Stegostoma tigrinum: one gene and its partner. The protein of the gene in region 1 purifies or fractionates together with the protein of each later gene. This does not show direct contact. Links are inferred from orthologs where the notes say so. Each region holds a gene or a part of one and is shown in the gene's direction. Other genes may lie near its edges.

Region 1 (9,814 bases):
GGCCCAATTTATCTGACAGTGTTTATTGTCCATATGAATCTCTTCCCATTACTCTTCCAAACGTTTTCTTTTCAATCCTGGCCATCTGCATGAGGAATGCAGGTGTATAGGAACTGGAAGTCCATGGTGAAAATGAGGTGTCAGTCACACACTCTCTACTTTTTCCTTAAATGCATCTGTGCTATTTGCCTCAACTTTGATGCCATCTTTCAAACCCATGACTTCAGCCATCTAGAAGGACAAAGGCAGCAGATGATGGAAACATCATCACCTGTACATTTCCCTCCAAGTTACACACTATTCTGACTTGCAACTATATCACCGCTCTTTTGCTGTTACAGAGTCGAAATCGTGGAACTCCCCAACGAACTAGAGCACTGCGGTTGTGTCTGCACGGCATGCATGCAATATTTAAGAAAGTTGCTCTCCACCCCATTCTCTCCTGGCAGTTAGGGGTGAACAATAAATTTTGGCCTTGCCAAATAGTCGCTGTTCCAACACTGACCCACGCTGAAATTCACTAGTCACCTGCTGCCATCCTGAAAAATACCCTATTATCCTTGCTCTTGGTCTTTTGCCAATCAGCCAATCTTCTACTCATGCCAGAATCTTGCCCCTTACACCATGGGCTCGTATCTTAATTAGCAGCCTCCTGTGGCACCTTGTCAAAGGCCTTCTGGAAATCGAAATAGATCACATCCGCTGACTTCGCTTTGTGTAATTTGCATGTTCCCTCTTCAAAGAATTCTAACAGAAATGTCAGGCAGAACCCCCTCTTAATGAAATTATACTGACTCATCTCTATGTTCCTATGCACTTCCGAGTACCTTATTCTTAATAATGGGCTCTAAATCTTACTGATGATTGGAGTCAGATTCAAAAACAAAGTTGCTGGAAAAACTCAGCAGGTCTGGCAGCATCTGTGAAGGAAAAATCAAAATTAATATTTTGGGTCCGGTGATCCTTCCTCAAAACCCTGCTGAGCTTTTCCAGCAGCTTTGTTTTTGTTCCTGATTTACAGCATCCACAGTACTTTCAGTTTTATTTGAAGTCAGACTAATTGGTCTACAATTTCCCATCTTTGGCTTCCTTCCCTTCTTAAACAGACGTGTTACATTAGCCATTTTCCAGTCCACTGGGACCTTCACTGACTTCAGTGATTCCTGAAAGACCACCACAATTTCCTTAGACCTGTCCTTCAGTACCCTGGGGTGTGGACCATCTGGGCAAGGTGTATTATCCACCTTTCAACTTCTTCTGCACCTTCTCCCAATTGATGGCCATTACACTCAACTTGTGATAGAATATTAGTGAATGCAGGGAATCAGAGAAGCTTCAAACTGAAGGAGTTGATTTAACTCAGGAAAGGGAAGCTAGTGTGCCGTACTGAATTTTCCTTACTCTCTCTCTGTATTTATATTGGGAAATTAAATACCAAACTGGAGAGGTCATGCTTTAGTTTCTTTTATTCATTCATGGGATGTGGGCGTCACTGGCTAGGCCAGTAATTTGTTGCCCATCCCTAACTGCCCAGGGGACAGCTAAGTGTCAGCCAACATTGCTGTGGGTCTGGAGTCACATGTAGCCTAGAATAAGAAAAGGATGACAATTTCCATCCCCAAAGGACATTCGGAACCAAACGGGTTTTTCCTGACAATCAACAATGGTTTCGTGGTCCTCGTTCACCTCTTAATTCCACATTTTTACTTGAATTCAAATTCCTCCATCTACTATGTCAGGATTCAAACTGAGGCCCCCAGGACTTTACCAAGATCTCTGGCCTAATAGTCTAGTGATGATACTACTAGGCCATTGCCTACCCTTTTAATACAGGGTATTGGGGAGATTTGTGCTTCTGAGGCTTTATAAAGCTCAAGTTAGGCCCCATTTAGAATACTGTGTCCAATTTTGGGCCCCACACCTCAGGAAGGACATAATGACACTGGAGCATGTCCAGCGGAGATTCACACAGATGATCCCTGGAATGGTAGGTTTAACATACGATGAATGGCTGAGGATCCTGGGATTGTATTCATTACAGTTTAGAAGGTTGAGGGGAGATCTAATAGAAACTTACAAGATAATGTATGGCTTAGAGAGGGTGGATGCTGGCAAGTTGTTTCCATTAGGTGGGGAGACTAGGACCAGTGGGCACAGCCTTATAACTAGAGGGGGTAAATTTAAAATGGAAATGAGGAGACATTTCTTCAGCCAGAGAGTGGTGGGCCTGTGGAATTCATTGCCACGGACCACAGTGGAGGCCAGGACATTAAATATCTTCAAGGCAGAGATTGATAAATTCTTGATCTCACAAGGAATCAAGGGCTACAGGGAGAGTGCGGGTAAGTGGAGTTGAAATGCCCATCAGCCACGATTAAATGGCGGAGTGGACTCGATGGGCCGAATGGCCTTATGGACTGCATGTGTAGTACTGCGTTCAGTATTGATCTCGTTGATTAAGGAAGGATGTAAATTTGTTGCAAATAATTCAGAGAAGATTTAACAGCTGGAATGAGTGAATTTTCTTATGAAGAAAGGTTAGCACGTTCTGATTGTATGTACTGGAGTTTCGAAGACAAAACAAAGACTTGACTGAAACAAAGGCTTGATAGGGTGAGTATGGAAACGATGTTTCCTCTAGTGGGACAATCTAGACTTTGGGGTCACTGCTCAAAAATAAGGCCTGCCTGTTTAAAGCAGAAAAGAAATACTTTCTTAGCGGAGTCTTTGTAATGATCTTTTTAATGGCAGAGCAGCTTCCTCCTGTTCCTAATTCATGTGTGGCATATATATTTGCATGTTAATACATGTTAAGCATGGTGGTGTTCTACAACTGTACAATTCACAGTGTTAAACATCATCTGGGCAGTTGAACCAACTAAGTATGCTCATGATAGTTCACAGGGAGTAAACTAAAATCTGTGATCATACCTTTTTCCTGTTGCATATCATCTCTGAATGGGATGTTATGACAATAGACCAAGAACGACAAATCTGTTTTTCTTATGGCTAACTGTTGGATGAAGCCATGTGTGTAATTTCAATAGTGCCTTCGCTTCTGCGGTCCGAAAGCCGTGGTTTCCAATACCACACCAGATATTTAGTATACAATTTCAAGTGATGGTCTAGTGCAGTACTAGAAGAATGGCACACTTTCACAAGTGTTAACTTTCAGGTGGGATATTAAACTGAGGCTAGACTGCTCTGCTCTGTTAAGCTAATGTTAGAAGAGCTCATGCCACTGTTTTGAAATGAAACTATGCAATTCTTCCTGTGTGACTTGGACAAGAGATCCTCATCAACCATTACTGGTTATCTGGTTGTTTGTGCTACCTTACTCTGTGTAAGACAGCTGCTACATTTCCTACAACAGTGACTACAGTTCAAAAAATACTTAATTGTCTGGAATGCACTTTGGGACATCTGGAAGCCTGAGGAAAGTGCAAATCTTTCCTTAGTTATAATTCCACCAAACAGATACTTTAAAAAAACGATTAGATCAGAAACATTCAGATATACAATAATGGATTTTCATAATGTCCAAAAGGAGATAGAAAGCAAGTTCTCATGAACAGCAAGGTCACATCTCACTCCCTTACCACTAGAATCTTGTGACCAAGTCCACAGACTGAATCATGAACTCACAACATTGATTTGGGGATCAGAGGTAGGTAACTTACATTGTCATGAAATCGAAGAGTCATGCAGCATGGAAACAGGACCTTTGGTCCAACTCATCCACAATGACCAGACATCCCAGTCTGACCTAGCCCTATTTGCCAGCATTTGGTTCATATTCCTTTAAATCCTTCCTACAATTTACTCATCCAAGTGCCTTTTTAATGTTGTAACTGTATCCAACTCCTCCACTTCCTCCAGCAGCTCATTCCATACACACACCATTCTCTGTGTGGAAAAAGTTACCCCTAAGATCCTTTTTAAATCTTTCCCTTCTCACCTCAAACCTCTACTTTTGGACTCCCCACCCTAGGAAATATATTTTGGCTATTCACCCTGTCCATGTCTCTCATGATTTTATAAACCTCCATAAGGTTACCCCTCAGTCTCCGACACTACGGCTAAAAAAAAACCCAGCCTATTCAGCCACTCCCTATCAGTCAAACCTTTCAGTCCTGACAACATCCTTGTAAATCTTTTCTGTGACCTCTAAAGTTTAACAACATCCTTGCTTTAGAAGAACAACCAAAATTGTATGCAATATTCGAAAAGTGGCCTCACCAATGTCCTACATAGCTGCAACATGACATTCCAACTCCTAAACTCAATGTTATGACCAATTAAGGCAAGCATGCCAAACATTTTCTTCACCACCCTGTCTACCTGTGACTCCACTTTCAAGGATCGATGTACAAGTTGTTGGAGGTGATGCTGAGAGACCGGATTTACATGCATTTGGAGAGCAGGAACTAATTAGGGATAGTCAGCATGGCTTTGTGTGTTGGAAATCATATTTCACAAAATTGATTTGAGTTTTTCAGGACATATTCAAAAAGATTAACGAGGGCGGAGAGGTAGATGTTGTCTACGTGGACTTTAACAAAGCCTTTGATAAGGTTCCGCATGGTAGACTGATTAGCAAAGTTAGCTCACATGGGATTCAAGGACACCTTTTTCGGTTGGATACAAAATTGATTTGACAGGGCACAGAGGGTGGTGGTGGAGGGTTGTTTTTCAGACTGGAGGCTCCTCTGACCAGTGGTGTTCTGCAGGGATGAACACTGGGTCCACTGTTATTCGTCATTTACATAAAAGATTCAAAGGAGAATTTAGGATGCAGGGTTCTTAAGTTTGCAGATGACACCAAAATTGGTTGTATAGTCAACAGCGAAGGTTATCTAAGAATACAAAGAGATCTTGATCAATTAGGCCAATGGGCTGCGGAGTAGCAGACGGAGTTTAATTTGGATAAATGCAAGGCAAAGCGAACAAGGGCAGGACTTATACAGTTAATGGTAGGGCCCTGAGTAGTATTGTTGAACAGAGACCTAGGGGTCCAAGTACATAATTCTTTGAAAGCTGTGTCACAGGTAGACAGGGTGGTTAAGAAGGCATTTAGCATGCTTGCCTTCATTGCTCAGACCACTGAATTTATGGGTTGGGACGTAATGTTGAGGCTGTACAGGATGTTGGTGAGGCCTCTTTTGGAGTACCATGTCCAGTTCTGGTCACCCTGCTGTAGGAAGGATATTATTAAATTAGAGAAGGTTCAGAAAAGATTTACCAGAATGTTACGAGAACTGGAAAGTTTGAGTTATAGGAAGAAGGTGGATAGGCTGGGACTATTCACTGCAATGTAGGAGGTTAAGGGGTGACTGTAGCGGTTTATAAAATCATGACAGGCATAGATAAGATTAACAGCAAAGGTCTTTTCCCTCAGGTTGGAGAGGTGGGGGAACGGGAACTGGGATGGTGTCCAAAACCAGTGGGTATATTTTTAAGGTGACAGGAGAACGATTTAAAAGGGATCTAAGAAGCAATATTTTCACACAGAGGGTCATTCATATGAACTGCCAGCAGAAGTGGTAGATGCAGGTAAAATTACAACATTTAAAAGTCATTTGAACAGGTGCATGAATAGGAATGGTTTAGAGGGATGTGGGCCAAAAATCGGCAAATGGGACTAGTTTTTGTTTGGGAGTCTTGGTTGGCATGGACAAGTTGGACCGAAGGATGTGTTCCTGTGCTTTATGGCTCTGAGGGTGCTATGCACATAATTTCAGCTGGAGTATGGAATCATATTGTGATATGAAGGCTATGAATAAGAAACAACATTGTTGTTTTGATCACACTGATGTTATTTCTGAACTAGTCAGATTCCAGACTGAAACATGGATTGATAAATCATTTTTGCTTTTTGAGTGCGAGCAGCAGCGGAGGCAAGACGGACCCGGAAGACTGCAGCTAAGGTAAAGCAGTTTATTTTTAAAATTACTTACCGGTAGCGGGCAGCGGTGTTTTTTTTGCTCTTTCAGAGAAGGAGCGGGAGCATCAGAGGAAGTGACGAGGACCAGAGGGGCAGCCGGGAAGGAAAGCAGTGAGTATAAATACTCACCCTTCGACGCCAACGGCCTTTTTGAGTGCGAGCAGCAGCGGAGGCAAGACGGACCCGGAAGACTGCAGCTAAGGTAAAGCAGTTTATTTTTAAAATTACTTACCGGTAGCGGGCAGCGGTGTTTTTTTTGCTCTTTCAGAGAAGGAGCGGGAGCATCAGAGGAAGTGACGAGGACCAGAGGGGCAGCCGGGAAGGAAAGCAGTGACCATATATCTCAGCAAGGCGGCTTAACCTGAGACTCTACAACTGTAGTGTCTCCCACCCGCCCTCCTCCTCTAACCTAGTTAATAAGGTAAGGTTCATTCTAAACTTTCTCTATTGAACATAAGTTTGTTATTAATTTGTTATTATTACTTGAAGTGAGCTTTCTGCTTTAGTACTGAGTGGGTGTTCAGATAAGTGGGGTATGGATGCTAGGGCAGTTGCTTGCTCCTCCTGCAGAATGTGGCAGTTGGGAGATGTGGCACACGTCTCCGCTGGCTACATCTGTGGGAAGTGCACCCAGCTACAGCTCCTTGAAAACCGTGTTAGGGAAATGGAGCTGGAGCTGGATGAACTACGGATCATTCGGGAGGCAGAGGGGGTAATTGAGAGGAGTTATCGGGAGTTGGTCACTCCTAAGGCTCAGGACGAGGATAGATGGGTTACAGTTAGGGGGAGGAAAGGGGACAGACAGACAGTGCAGAGATCCCCTGTGGGCATTCCCCTCAGCAATAAGTATACCGTTTTGGATACTGCTGGGGGGGTTGACCTACCAGAGGAAAGCCATAGTAGTCAGTTCTCTGGCACTGAGTCTGACACTGTGGCAAAGAAGGGAAGGGGGCAGAATAGAAAAGTACTCGTGGTAGGGGACTCGATAGTTAGGGGAATCGACAGGAGATTTTGTGGGCAAGATCGGGATTCCCGGAAGGTATGTTGCCTCCCTGGTGCCAGGGTCCGGGACGTCTCCGATCGGGTGTATAAAGTTCTGAAAGGGGAGGGTGAACAGCCAGAAATCGTGTTACATATTGGCACAAATGATATAGCCAGAAATAGGTTTGAGGATATAAAAAGTGATTTCAGGGAGTTAGGATGGAAGCTGCAGAGCAGGACGAACAGAGTAGTGTTCTCTGGTTTACTACCGGTGCCACGAGATAGCGAGGTGAGGAACAGGGAGCGGGCGCAGCTGAACACGTGGCTACGCAGCTGGTGTAGGAGGGAGGGTTTCAGATATGTTGATAATTGGGATGCCTTCTGGGGAAGGTGGGACCTGTACAAGAAGGACGGGTTGCATCTGAACTGGAAGGGGACCAATGTCCTGGGTGGAAGGTTTGCTCGAGTAGTTCGAGAGGGTTTAAACTAGTATGGCAGGGGGGGTGGGAACCTGAGCTGTATACCAGAGGTGAGCGTTGATGCAGGTGAGGCAGTAGCAAGAGGTAGACCAGCTAGTGGGAAGGATTTTCCTGGGAAGGAACCAAGGGATCGGTTAAAGTGTGTTTGCTTTAATGCAAGGAGTATCAGGAATAAAAGTGATGAACTTAGAGCATGGATCAGTACCTGGTGCTATGATGTTGTGGCCATAACAGAGACATGGGTTTCTCATGGGCTGGAATGGTTGCTGGATATTCCAGGGTTTAGAACATTTAAAAAGAATAGGGAGGGGGGAAAAAGAGGAGGGGGTGTAGCACTACTAATCAGAGAGGGTATCACAGCTACAGAAGCTTCCATTGTCGAGGAAGATCTGCCTACTGAGTCAGTATGGGTGGAAATTAGGAACAGCAAGGGAGTAGTCACCTCGTTAGGGGTTTACTACAGGCCCCCCAATAGCAGCAGGGAGATTGTAGAAAGCATAGGTTGACAGATTTTGGAAAAGTGTGGACGCAGTAGGGTTGTTGTAATGGGTGACTTTAACTTTCCTAATATTGATTGGAACCTCCTTCGAGCAGAAGATTTGAATGGAGCTGTTTTTGTAAGGTGTGTTCAGGAGGGTTTCCTAACGCAGTACGTTGACAGGCCGACGAGGGGAGAGGCCATTCTAGACTTGGTGCTCGGAAACGAGCCGGGGCAGGTATCAGATCTTGTGGTGGGAGAGCATTTTGGTGATAGTGACCATAACACTCTCTCATTCTACATAGCTATGGAGAAGGAGAGGATTAGGCAGAATGGGAGGATATTTAATTGGGGAAGAGGAAACTATGATGCGATTAGACACGAGTTAGGAAGCATGGACTGGGAGCAGTTGTTCCATGGTAAGGGAACTATAGACATGTGGAGATGGTTTAAGGAACAGTTGTTGGGAGTGATGAGTAAATATGTCCCTCTGAGACAGGCAAGACGGGGTAAGATAAAGGAACCTTGGATGACGAGAGCGGTGGAGCTTCTAGTGAAAAGGAAGAAGGTAGCTTACATAAGGTGGAGGAAGCTAGGGTCAAGTTCAGCTAGAGAGGATTACATGCAGGCAAGGAAGGAGCTCAAAAATGGTCTGAGGAGAGCCAGGAGGGGGCACGAGAAAGGCTTGGCAGAAGGAATCCGGGAAAACACAAAGGCATTTTACACTTACGTGAGGAATAAGAGAATGGTCAAAGAAAGAGTAGGGCCGATCAGGGATAGCATAGGGAACTTGTGTGTGGAGCCTGAGGAGGTAGGGGAAGCCCTAAATGAGTTTTTTGCTTCTGTCTTTACGAAAGAAACGACCTGTGTAGTGAATGAAACCTTTGAAGAGCAGGTGTGCATGCTGGAATGGATAGAGATAGAGGAAGCTGATGTACTGAAAATTTTGTCAAACATTAAGATTGACAAGTCGCCAGGCCCGGATCAGATTTGTCCTCGGCTGCTTTGGGAAGCGAGAAATGCAATTGCTTCGCCACTTGCGAAGATCTTTGCATCCTCGCTCTCCACTGGAGTCGTACCTGAGGACTGGAGAGAGGCAAATGTAATTCCTCTCTTCAAGAAAGGAAATAGGGAAATCCCCGGCAATTATAGACCGGTAAGTCTCACGTCTGTCGTCTGCAAGGTGTTAGAAAGGATTCTGAGGGATAAGATTTATGACCATCTGGAAGAGCATGGCTTGATCAAATACAGTCAACACGGCTTTGTGAGGGGTAGGTCATGCCTTACAAACCTTATCGAGTTTTTTGAGGATGTGACTAGTAAGGTTGATGAGGGTCAAGCTGTGGATGTGGTGTATATGGACTTCAGTAAGGCATTTGACAAGGTTCCCCATGGAAGGCTCATTCAGAAGGCCAGGAGGAATGGGATACAGGGGAACTTAGCTGTCTGGATACAGAATTGGCTGGCCAACAGAAGACAGCGAGTGGTAGTAGAAGGAAAATATTCTGCCTGGAAGTCAGTGGTGAGTGGGGTTCCACAGGGCTCTGTCCTTGGGCCTCTACTGTTTGTAATTTTTATTAATGACTTGGACGAGGGAATTGAAGGATGGGTCAGCAAGTTTGCAGACGACACAAAGGTCGGAGGTGTCGTTGACAGTGTAGAGGGCTGTTGTAGGCTGCAGCGGGACATTGACAGGATGCAGAGATGGGCTGAGAGGTGGCAGATGGAGTTCAACCTGGATAAATGCGAGGTGATGCATTTTGGAAGGTCGAATTTGAAAACTGAGTACAGGATTAAGGATAGGATTCTTGGCAGCGTGGAGGAACAGAGGGATCTTGGTGTGCAGATACATAGATCCCTTAAAATGGCCACCCAAGTGGACAGGGTTGTTAAGAAAGCATATGGTGTTTTGGCTTTCATTAACAGGGGGAT
Region 2 (10,306 bases), on another chromosome or scaffold:
CTTGTCCCTAGTTGGAGGTCAGAAAAATCAACAGTGTGAAGTTGGCTTTCTTCATATACGTTTTGAACACTTTGAAAATTTTATGTAGACACTTTTTAACTTGTGGTTTATCCAAATTATAATAAATAACATTGTGGATGTAAACTGATTCTGGTAATCATATAAAATTTTCTGCTTATTGGTTGTAAGCTATTGCTATTTTAATTCGTATTCTTAATTTCATATACAAATAACCTTCAATTCAGAACAGAGATAGTAGGAACTGCAGATGCTCGAGAGTCTGAGATAACAAGGTGTAGAGCTGGATGAACAAGCAGGCCAAGCAGCATCAGAGGAGCAGGAAGGCTGATGTTTTGGGCCTAGACCCTTCTTCAGAAAAGAAGGGTCTAGGCCCGAAACGTCAGCCTTCCGGCTCCCCCGATGCTGCTTGGCCTGCTGTGTTCATCCAGCTCTACACCTTGTTATCTTTAATCCAGAACCGACTGTTTTCGCATAGTACACCTTGGAGAGAAGTCATCTTTATTTTCATATGTGGCATAATGATTCCTTGTTCACATATCAATTTCTATATGTAACTGTATATTGTAAACTATGTGATCTATCCATTCATCATGGAAATATATGAATTAGCTGTAGATAATGGAAGCTTTTAAAAATAAATCCTAGGTATGTGCAGCAGAAGTACACATGGCATGCAATATTTGTGTATTTAATGGTTCAATTTTAAACCCCACTGCTGGTGAAGAATCATCTGCATAAAATTAGCATAAGACTTTCTTGTGATCTCAGTCTGCTATAATTTTTATTTATCATTCATTTCATGGGAAGAGGGTGTTGCTGGCTAGGCCAGAGGACTCTTAGGGGTCAACCATATTGCTACAGGTGTGGAGTCACATGTAGACCAGACCAGGTAAGGAAGGCAGCTTCCTTCCCTTAAGGCTAGTGAACCAGATGGGTTTTTCCTGATATCAGCAATGGATTTATAGTCATCTTTAGCCTACAAATTCCAGATTTATTCTATTAAATTCAAATTCCACCATCTGCTGTCGAGGAATTTGAGCCCAAATCCCCAGAACATTAGCTGGGTCTTTGGGTTAACAAAAACTGCAAGAACTGCAGATGCTGTAAATCAGAAACAAAAATAGAAATTGTTTGAAAAGCTCAGCAGAACTGGCAGCATCTGTAGAGAGAAATCAGAGCTAATGTTTCGGCTCAGGTTCTGAGGAAGGGTCATCGGACCCACAACATTAACTCTGATTTCTCTCCACAGATGCTGCCAGACCTACTGAGCTTTTCTAGCAACTTCTGCTTTTGTCTTTGGATTAACAGTCCTGTATTTATACCATTAGGCCATTTCCTCACATTGATATGTGAGATGAGGTGTGAGAAGCAGATACTGTTTCCTTCTAGTTAAGTAGATTTACTAGAAGTTGTCAGAATTTGAAGGGTTTTGTTAGAGGAAATGAAAACAAACTGTTTCCATAGATATGAAAAGGAGTAACAATTGAATTAAAACATTACTTCAGCTGGAGACATAAAGCAGCAGAAGTTTGTTGTGTAAAGTGTAAATATGTACTATCTGATAATTTTAAATTGATTCAATTTCATTTTCATTTTTTAATCAAGACAGACCGATGGATTTAGTGAAGACCGCCCAAGTTTGACATCTGCAAGAAAGTCCGTTTTAAATGGATGCAACTTGTTACTAAAAGTGAACATCTAAAATCCAGTACTGCAGCTTTAATGTTGAAATTCTAGCTGTGTGGACGTGTGACTTCATTTAGAACACTTATGTCTGTTCTGGATTGTCTACTTTAAGCCTCATTTGAAATATGTTTAATTACAGGAAATAAATTTCCCAGTTATCTTGGTGATATATTTATGTTTGTGTTGATAATTAAAATACTTGATTGTAAATTATGCAGGAAACCCTTATTAGAAAGCAAGTATTAATTCACAAAGCTTGAGAAAATATATACAAATTGATTGGATCCTTTTTTAATAGGAAAAGGAATTTGTTTTTATATTGTACATTTTTCACTGAAGAGAAAAATGGAGACCGACAACCCCTCCCTGCATTCCTCATGGCAGTCTGAGTAAATCTACCGGTATGAGTTTAGTTAGCTAACAAAGATCGACAGTTAACATTTCCTGCTGCATGTCCACACCCACTAAGATGCAACCAATCAACACTCTCTTTATACAAGTATAGAAATATAAACAAAAGCTTTTATAGAAGTAGTATAAATTGATGTTCCTTTTGGTATCTTGTGTACCAGTCCTAATCAGTGAAAGACAAATAGCTTTGGCTCTGAGTCTCTTTTTTAAAAATCCTTGAGTTCTGTAAGCAATTATTAATAGATGTTTTTGTTCATGTTTTGTGGTGCAGACTGGCATTTATTCTCCATCCATAATAGCTCTTACAATTGAGATGATGTAGGGACATGGATGTTGGACAGGGGTGAACAATGTCAGAAATCTCATGATGCCAGGTTATAGTCCAACAGATTTATTTAAAATCACAAGCTTTCAGAATGCTGCTCCTTTGTCAAGTGAAATCGATAGGCAATTATGCTGGATGAAGTATGAATAAAAACTTAAGAACAGCCAAGAAGATTAAGGTCCAAATATGGTTCGACCATTTCAGCTTCCCAGCAATCTTTTAAAATGATGTGAAATGTATTTAAAACCAGCATCAGTGAATTTAGGCACCACACCAGATTTACGGTAAAATCAAATCCTTCATAGGTATCAGAATTATTCTCTGAGCGACTATCTGTTCTTCCCTCCTTTTACAATAAGCTTCACTCTATCCAGATCATGCTTTTTGATCTCCTTCTCTCTTTGAAAATTCAAGGTTTTTTAAAGTTCCAATTCCCTTTTGTGATCATGACCACGGGCCCAAAATTGGTCATTTTAGATTGACCCATAGCTGGAGAAATTGGGCCTGACAGACAACAGAGAACAGTGGAAGCCAAGACCGTAGAGGTGACAAAGCTCTGGGCGGAAACCCGCTTACAGCCAGCCCGAGGGTTGTGTATTGAAGAAGTATCGATATGACTTTCTGGCACCTTGACTGCCAGCATTTCCTGTATTTGTGATGGAAGTTTGGGTTTGAAAGTCCAAACCATGTAAAAAAAAACTTCACAATCTATCCCAGCTTCCTGTTGTGGTTGGTTTGTTAAATCACAGATGTTTCATTAGCCTGCTGGATAGCATCATCAGTACAGCCTCCGATGAAGTGTTATGTTTTCCCACTTAAATATTTAAACTCTGGGGACCGCTGGAGTTGATTACCTCACCTCAGGTTTTTCTTTGCAGTGGTGTGTACATAGGGTCCAATTCTGTGTGCTTATTGATGGCCTTCTTGTTTGGCTTGTCCTAGGATCCTGACATTTTCCCATCAAACTGGTGGTTTTCCTTGTCTGCATGTATGGAGACGAGTGAGTATTGGTTGTGTTTTTTTTGTTGTTGCTTGGTGTTCATGTATTCTCATAGCCAGTTTCCTTCCTGTCTGTCCAATGTAATGTTTGTCACAGCCCTTGCATGAAATCTTGTATATTACGTTGGCCCTGTCCATAATGGGTACTCAATAAACATCTAGAATTAGACTCTAGAAGCGCATCACTGCAAAGAAAAACCAGAAATGAGGTAATCAACTCCAATGGACCCCAGAGTTTAAATAACAGGAGGAAAGACACAACAATACTTTGTCGGAGGCTGCACTGAAGATGTTACCCAGCGGGGTAATGAAACATCTGCAAATTAACGAACCAGCTCGGTGAGCCAACCAACCACAGCATTGAGCTGCAATCTACTCAAGACCTTTAAATATCCAGCTTCCGGTACACTTGGTTTGTCTATAATCTATGAATTCTCTTCTCTTTTTGGGAAGAGATGTCGTTTATTCAGCATTGCAAGTACTCCTGTACCTATTTGAATGACAAACAAGCTGTCACTTGAATGAAAGACCTTGCACTATCTGCAATACTGGCTGCTTTAAGCTGCTAGTGTGCTTTTATTTTTACACCCTGAAGTCCTATCACACACAACTGAGCAATTTTCCCACCATGCTAGGTTACTGTTATTCATGGGCCTGTTGATAGGAAATTGATTGGAAATATCCAATGACAATTAGCGCAAATAAAGGCAAATTCTTGGAGTAAATATAACTCAAAATTAGTTAAATTTCAACAGGCACTAGTGTATCAAAAATGTCAAACAGCGTACAAAAAAGTAAAATTTATCAGGGAGCAATAACATTACCAGTTGAGGTAAGGTGACCCAATTTGTTAATTGTGTTAATGAGAGTGTTTACTGAACTCAGGTGTAATTCAACCACCATTATGTTGAACAAGAGTATTTTAAACTTTGATGAACGAATTGGAACCCACTTGTGGAAATCAGAATCGGTTTTTATCTCTGCTTGTGTGCCTAAAAATGACATTGGGAAAAACGTCCAGGGCATTCTGCAGCATGGAGCAGGAGAAATAAGATCCCTGAGATTAAATAAAATTAATATCTAAAATATGAAAGTGACACACGCTGGAAATCTGAAGTAATAACAGAAATTGCAAGAGATGCTCAACAAAGCAGTATCTGCAGATTGAGGGAAACATGAGTTAACATTTTATGAAAAGTTGCAGATCTGAAGCACATTGAAATTCTTGTTTCTGTCTGCTGCGCCAGCAGAATATTTCCAGCTTTGCTTGTTTTTATACAGGACAAACCAGAGTTAACTTTTCAAGTCCGGTATGCCTTCCTCAGAACTGAATTTAGATCAAAAGTAATATTTCCAATTTTAAGGGCTCTTTTGATGTAATAGACATATCCCTACCTCTGAACTGGGGACCTGTTCTTGCACAATAGTAATGTCTCTACCTTTGAGTTAGAAGGCTTGGGTTCAAATCTCACCAGATCCAGAAGTGTGTCATAACATCTCTGTTAATTAGGGGACAGCTGGAAGCAAAGAACAAATGTAATATCTCCAAAATTACGGGCTCTTGTAGTGTCCCTACCTCTGAGCTGGGGGGGGGGGCTCTTAAGGCATTATTAGTAATGTCCCTACTCTGGGTTAGGAGCTGTTGTGGCACAATGCTAATGTTGCTCTCTTTGAGTTAGTGGGTTCTTGTGGCATATTGGTATTGTCCCTACCTGTGAGTTAGGGGCTCTTGTGCACAATGCTAATGTCAATGTCTCTGAGTAAGGGGTTTCTTGAGGCATATTAGTAATGCCCCTACCTCTGGGTGAGGGGTTCTTGGGGCACAATGCTAATGTCCCTACCCCTGGGTTAATGAGGGCTGGGTTTAATTCCCACCTGCTCCAGAGGTATGTACTAACATCCCTGAACTAGTTAATTTAAAAGAAAATCTAAACATTTCTCAATCAACCTGTTTAGAGATGTCATTACACACCTCTGGCACAGGTGAGACTTGAACCCAGGCCTTCTGGCTCAGACGTGGAGGTGCTGGTTTTGGTTTTGAACCGGGGTAGACAAAGTCAGAAGTGACACGACACCAAGTTATAGTCCAACAAATCTACTTGAAACCACGGTGTGAGGCTGGATGAACACAGCAGGCCAAGCAGCATCAGAGGAGCAGGAAGGCTTGATGTTTCACGTCAGGACCCTTAAGACCCTTCAGTCCTGACCCGAAACGTCAGCTTTCCTGCTCCTCTGATACTGCTTGGCCTCCTGTGTTCATTCAGTTCTACACCTTGTTATCTCAGATTCTCCAGCATCAGCAGTTCCTACTCTCTCCATTTGAGATCACAAAGTTTGAAGCGCTGTTCCTTCGTCAGGTGAAGTCGGGGCAATGCCTCGAAAGCTTGCGATTTCGGATAAACCTGTTGGACCATGACCTGGTGTCGTGTGACTTCTGACTTTGCCCTGGCTCAGAGGTAGGGACACTGCCACTGCACCACCTGTACGAATAGTACCATGCTGTCTTCATGAATGGGGATCACTAGCTGGTCAGCCGCCACAATGTATCGAGAGGTTGTATCTCGTCCATGGGTGAGTGTCCCACCCACTCCTTGCCCTGATACGTTGCTGCCTGGTGAAGGGCTGCTCTGTGTGGCTGAGAGCCGTGTCAATCAGCAGGAACCGCGCCAGCCAGGGCGAAAGTGAAAGGAGCTGGGTTTGTGGAGTGGCCGGGCTTTATGTTTGGCCTTTGTTTTTATACGAAAGATACCCTTTGCAAGTCACTGGCAGGAGGGAAGATTTGATTTTGGTCTGAAGATTATTTGCAGAGGTAGAATAAAGCTTTTCTGCGCGCGTTGCGGTTTAAGAGCAGCAAAAGAAAAGTGTTTGGAGAAGGCTTTATTGCAGAGCTCTGCACAAAACCTAGAGCGCTGGCTAGAAATGCAGTGCTGGAAGCTCAAAGCAATCTGCCTTCACATCATGCCGTCCTATTTTTGCATAAAAGGTTTGTAGTCTCAGGTAAATGTCAGGAGCAGGGGCTGGCTGCAGGCGGCATGGAGAGAATGACTCACCAACAGCAAGCCTTGTTTTTGGGGCCTGACATACTCAGCCACAGCCAAGGGGAGATTTTGTTGTTGTGTTTTTTTCTTGAGTGCATGACAACATTTCCAGAAAAAACACCCACCAACACAGCGTTCATCGTCACTCCCAGCCTCAATATGTTGTTGCTTTTTAGTCAGGAGCCTTTTACTCCCCGGTCTGTTATCTGCATCAAATCCAGGCGCTGGGTCAAAGATGCAAATTCAAAGGGAACAAAATATACTGTTCAGGGAGGTCTCTGTTTAGCAAAAGTGTTCGAATCTGCTAACATTATCGGGTCCGTTTAGTGAAAAATAGTCAAGTAAAACTTGTGTTAACTAGTGATGGGTTTATGATAATCTGCTCCACGGTGGACCACCTACCTACATAACTTAAAAAAAACTGAAAGAACTGCGGATGCTGTAAATCAGGAACGAAAACAGAAATTGCTGGAAAAGCTCAGCAGATCTGGCAGCACCTGTGAAGGAAAAAGTCAGAGTTAACGTTTAGGGCCCGGTGACCCTTCCTACATAAGCTTTTCCGTGCCTAGGTATGTGAGGCACTAGTAAGACTGCCTGGCAAAATGGGTTTTATCTGCAGGATACCATGCTATGCCAAAACATGGCTGAATAATGGTTATGCAATCTGTGTAAACTACCTGCATGCTAAATTCTACATGCCAGTTCTGAAGATGGGTCACTGAACCCAAAATGTTAACTCTCTTTCTGTCTTCAGATGCTGCCAGACCTGCTGAGTTTCTCCACTATTTCTGTCTAATTACATCAATGTGCTAATTGTGTTCTAATGCTATTAGGGAGAGTGTAAGTAGGTAGCAGTTTCTTACTTGAAGTGCTAATTTTGAACGGCTGAATTTCACTCCATTAAGCAGTATAACAAAGACGTTTTTTAACCCTCCATTTTTCTTTCTTGGACGAAGTCAGAAGTCACACGACTCCAAGTTATAGTCCAACAGGTTTATTTGAAGTCACAGCAGAGCACCTTCGTTTATTTTTTCTCTTGTAAAGTGTAAAATGCTCTGTGCTTCCAGATGATGTGTAAAGCAAGACTAACTCAAGCTGTCAGATAGGTGCCACCACTTGCTGATTACAGTGTGTGCTCAGAGATGTCATTCTACTGTGAGGGATCATGCAGCATTTCCAAAGCAAACATATGTGGGAATCTGTTTCTTTAATCTTGCAGGAGCTCTTAAAACTGAGAGTTTATGATGGGCACAGCAACAAAGATTTGCTAGGCTCGAGGACAGAAGAGTTTTCCGTCAGTTTAAATACCTTGTCATTTCTCTCGAGGAGGGTTACAAATCATGGTTTTCTTTTGTTCCCGCAGCATGTTGTTCTGGCGGAATTGGACTAATTCCCAGTATCTGGGTGGACGAACTGCATCCCAGTTTTCTGATGGCAGTTTTCTATTTGCTCCGGATCCTGAAGAGTCATTATCTCAGATGATAAATCGTTCGTTAACAGATGACACTGCGTCACCAGATGAGGATCTGGATTCTGTTTTATTTGGAAACCTCCGTGGGAATGTGGTTGGGATGCGTTATTATACAGGAGTGGTAAGACTTGTCCCTCCAATCTAGCGTAATATTAAATAGCTGCGTTTAAATCTTCAATTTGCCATACCTTCAGTTACCTATTTATTATTGATTTAACAGTTGGGATTCAAAAACCTAAAAGTACATTTATATAATACCTCTCCCACAGCAAAAAGACCTAAGTTGCGTCGTGGGAGTATTTTAAAGATACTTAGCCCCATAAACCAACATAGGGCCAGATGACCAAAGCAGTAGATTTTAAGGAGTGTCTCAGTGGATGGAAGGGAAGAAGAGTAATGGGCAGGTTACTGAAGAAATGGTCAAACTTAGACAGCTAAAGGCACTTCTACCTATTGTGGACCAATTAAAATTGAGGGAGGAGGGGCTATGGTAGTGCAGCGATGGTGTCCTTTATCTCTGGTCGAGTCGACCCTGGTTCGAGTCCCACTTACTCCAGAGTACTGACATCTCCGAATAGGTTAAGTTTGAAAAGAAAGTATCACCATTTAAAATAATAGGTTCAAGAGGTCAGAAATAGATGAGTGCAGGTACACCAGAGGGTTGTGGGGCTGGAGTTGATGATAGAGATAGGGAGGGGCCAGGCCATGGAGATTCTTGAGAATTGCGATAAGAATTTTTAAGCGGCCATGTTGCTTGACCCGACATCCGTGCTTCCTGGAGTGATGGATGAGTGGGACTCTGTACGAATATGGATGGGGATAGCAGAATTTTGGACAATGTCAAGTTTGTGGAAAAGTAGAATATGGGAGGCCAGCTAAAATTGTGTTGGAAAAATCAAGACTAGGAGTAAAAACAGTGAAAAGGGTTTGAGCAACACAGGAGTTGAACTGGGGGCAAAGTCAGGCATTTCACAGGTAGATGGATTAGGTCCTTGTACTTACATGGACATGTGCCTGTGATCTCATCTCAGGATGAATTCTGTCTACCTGGGTTGCACCATCTGTTTTAGTCTTGGAAAATGCCAGGGAGAAGGATGGAACCAGGAGCAAGGGAACAGAGTTTGTGATGGGAACCAAAGAGGGTGCCTTCAGCCTTCCCAATATTTAACTTCATGAAAGGCATTGCTTATTAGACATTCCAGACAAATTGAAGATGTTGTGCATTTTGAAAAGTAAATGGGCTCAGTTGTCTGCTGTGAAATCTATAGTTTATTATTTGTGAACAATCTCACTGATCTGATTACAACTTTATAACGATAGGAACAGGGTCTTATTTTCCTTTTTCTTAGAAGACAATGATCTGTCCATTAATTCAATTTACTTACCTCTGATCCAGACCCCTGAATACTCAGACCTTTACATCTCAATCTAAACATTCCACCTACATTCCTTCAATTTCTCCAGTTTGTTTGTGCATGACGAGTGGGATGGGGAAGCCATGGGCCTCCTGCAGTGCCACAATGATGCCACCCGAAGGTTGCAGGAACAGCAACTCATATTCCGCTTGGGAACCCTGCAGCCTAATGGCATCAATGTGGACTTCACCAGCTTCAAAATCTCCCCTTCCCCCACTGCATCCCTAAACCAGCCCAGTTCGTCCCCTCCCCCCACTGCACCATACAACCAGCCCAGCTCTTCCCCTCCACCCACTGCATCCCAAAACCAGTCCAACCTGTCTCTGCCTCCCTAACCTGTTCTTCCTCTCACCCATCCCTTCCTCCCACCCCAAGCCGCACCTCCATCTCCTACCTACTAACCTCATCCCACCTCCTTGACCTGTCTGTCTTCCCTGGACTGACCTATCCCCTCCCTACCTCCCCACCTATACTCTCTCCACCTATCTTCTTTTCTCTCCATCTTCGGTCCGCCTCCCCCTCTCTCCCTATTTATTCCAGAACCCTCACCCCATCCCCCTCTCTGATGAAGGGTCTAGCCCCGAAACGTCAGCTTTTGTGCTCCTGAGATGCTGCTGGGCCTGCTGTGTTCATCCAGCCTCACATTTTATTAACCAAGTTTATGCGACCTGTCTTCCTAATTTAACTCAGAGTGAAGTGTCGTTCTGGTTAATCTACCCATGTCATCTCCCAGGCTGGTTTTTAATCTACCTGAGATGAAGTGTCCCACGTAGATTGCAGTGTCCCTGATGAGGTCAGAAGAAGTGTCTGGACAACTGTAGCACCCATTCCTTTATTTTTGAATTTCGGCCTCATTGCAATGAAAAGACCAACATTTTTATTCAAGATGTTTTTGTATGTGTGTCAATTTTTCATGAATGCAAAGAACTGGTGAGGACTT

What was found.
Region 2: the proteins of rpa2 (region 1) and hltf purify together in Homo sapiens (affinity purification with mass spectrometry, with the first as the bait; 3 studies listed by BioGRID). This does not show direct contact. The link is inferred for Stegostoma tigrinum from reciprocal best matches to the Homo sapiens genes RPA2 and HLTF.

The regions. Positions count from the first base shown.
Region 1 is NC_081377.1:37,459,109-37,468,922, forward strand, and holds the start of rpa2 (replication protein A 32 kDa subunit), read left to right. Parts: upstream 1-5,890; 5' UTR 5,891-6,365; intron 6,366-9,814. UniProt on the Homo sapiens protein: As part of the heterotrimeric replication protein A complex (RPA/RP-A), binds and stabilizes single-stranded DNA intermediates that form during DNA replication or upon DNA stress.
Region 2 is NC_081367.1:68,337,780-68,348,085, forward strand, and holds the start of hltf (helicase-like transcription factor), read left to right. Parts: upstream 1-5,760; 5' UTR 5,761-5,854; coding exon 5,855-5,898; intron 5,899-5,906; exon of another isoform or gene 5,907-6,013; intron 6,014-6,110; exon of another isoform or gene 6,111-6,251; intron 6,252-6,687; exon of another isoform or gene 6,688-6,797; intron 6,798-7,843; coding exon 7,844-8,072; intron 8,073-10,306. UniProt on the Homo sapiens protein: Has both helicase and E3 ubiquitin ligase activities. Possesses intrinsic ATP-dependent nucleosome-remodeling activity; This activity may be required for transcriptional activation or repression of specific target promoters.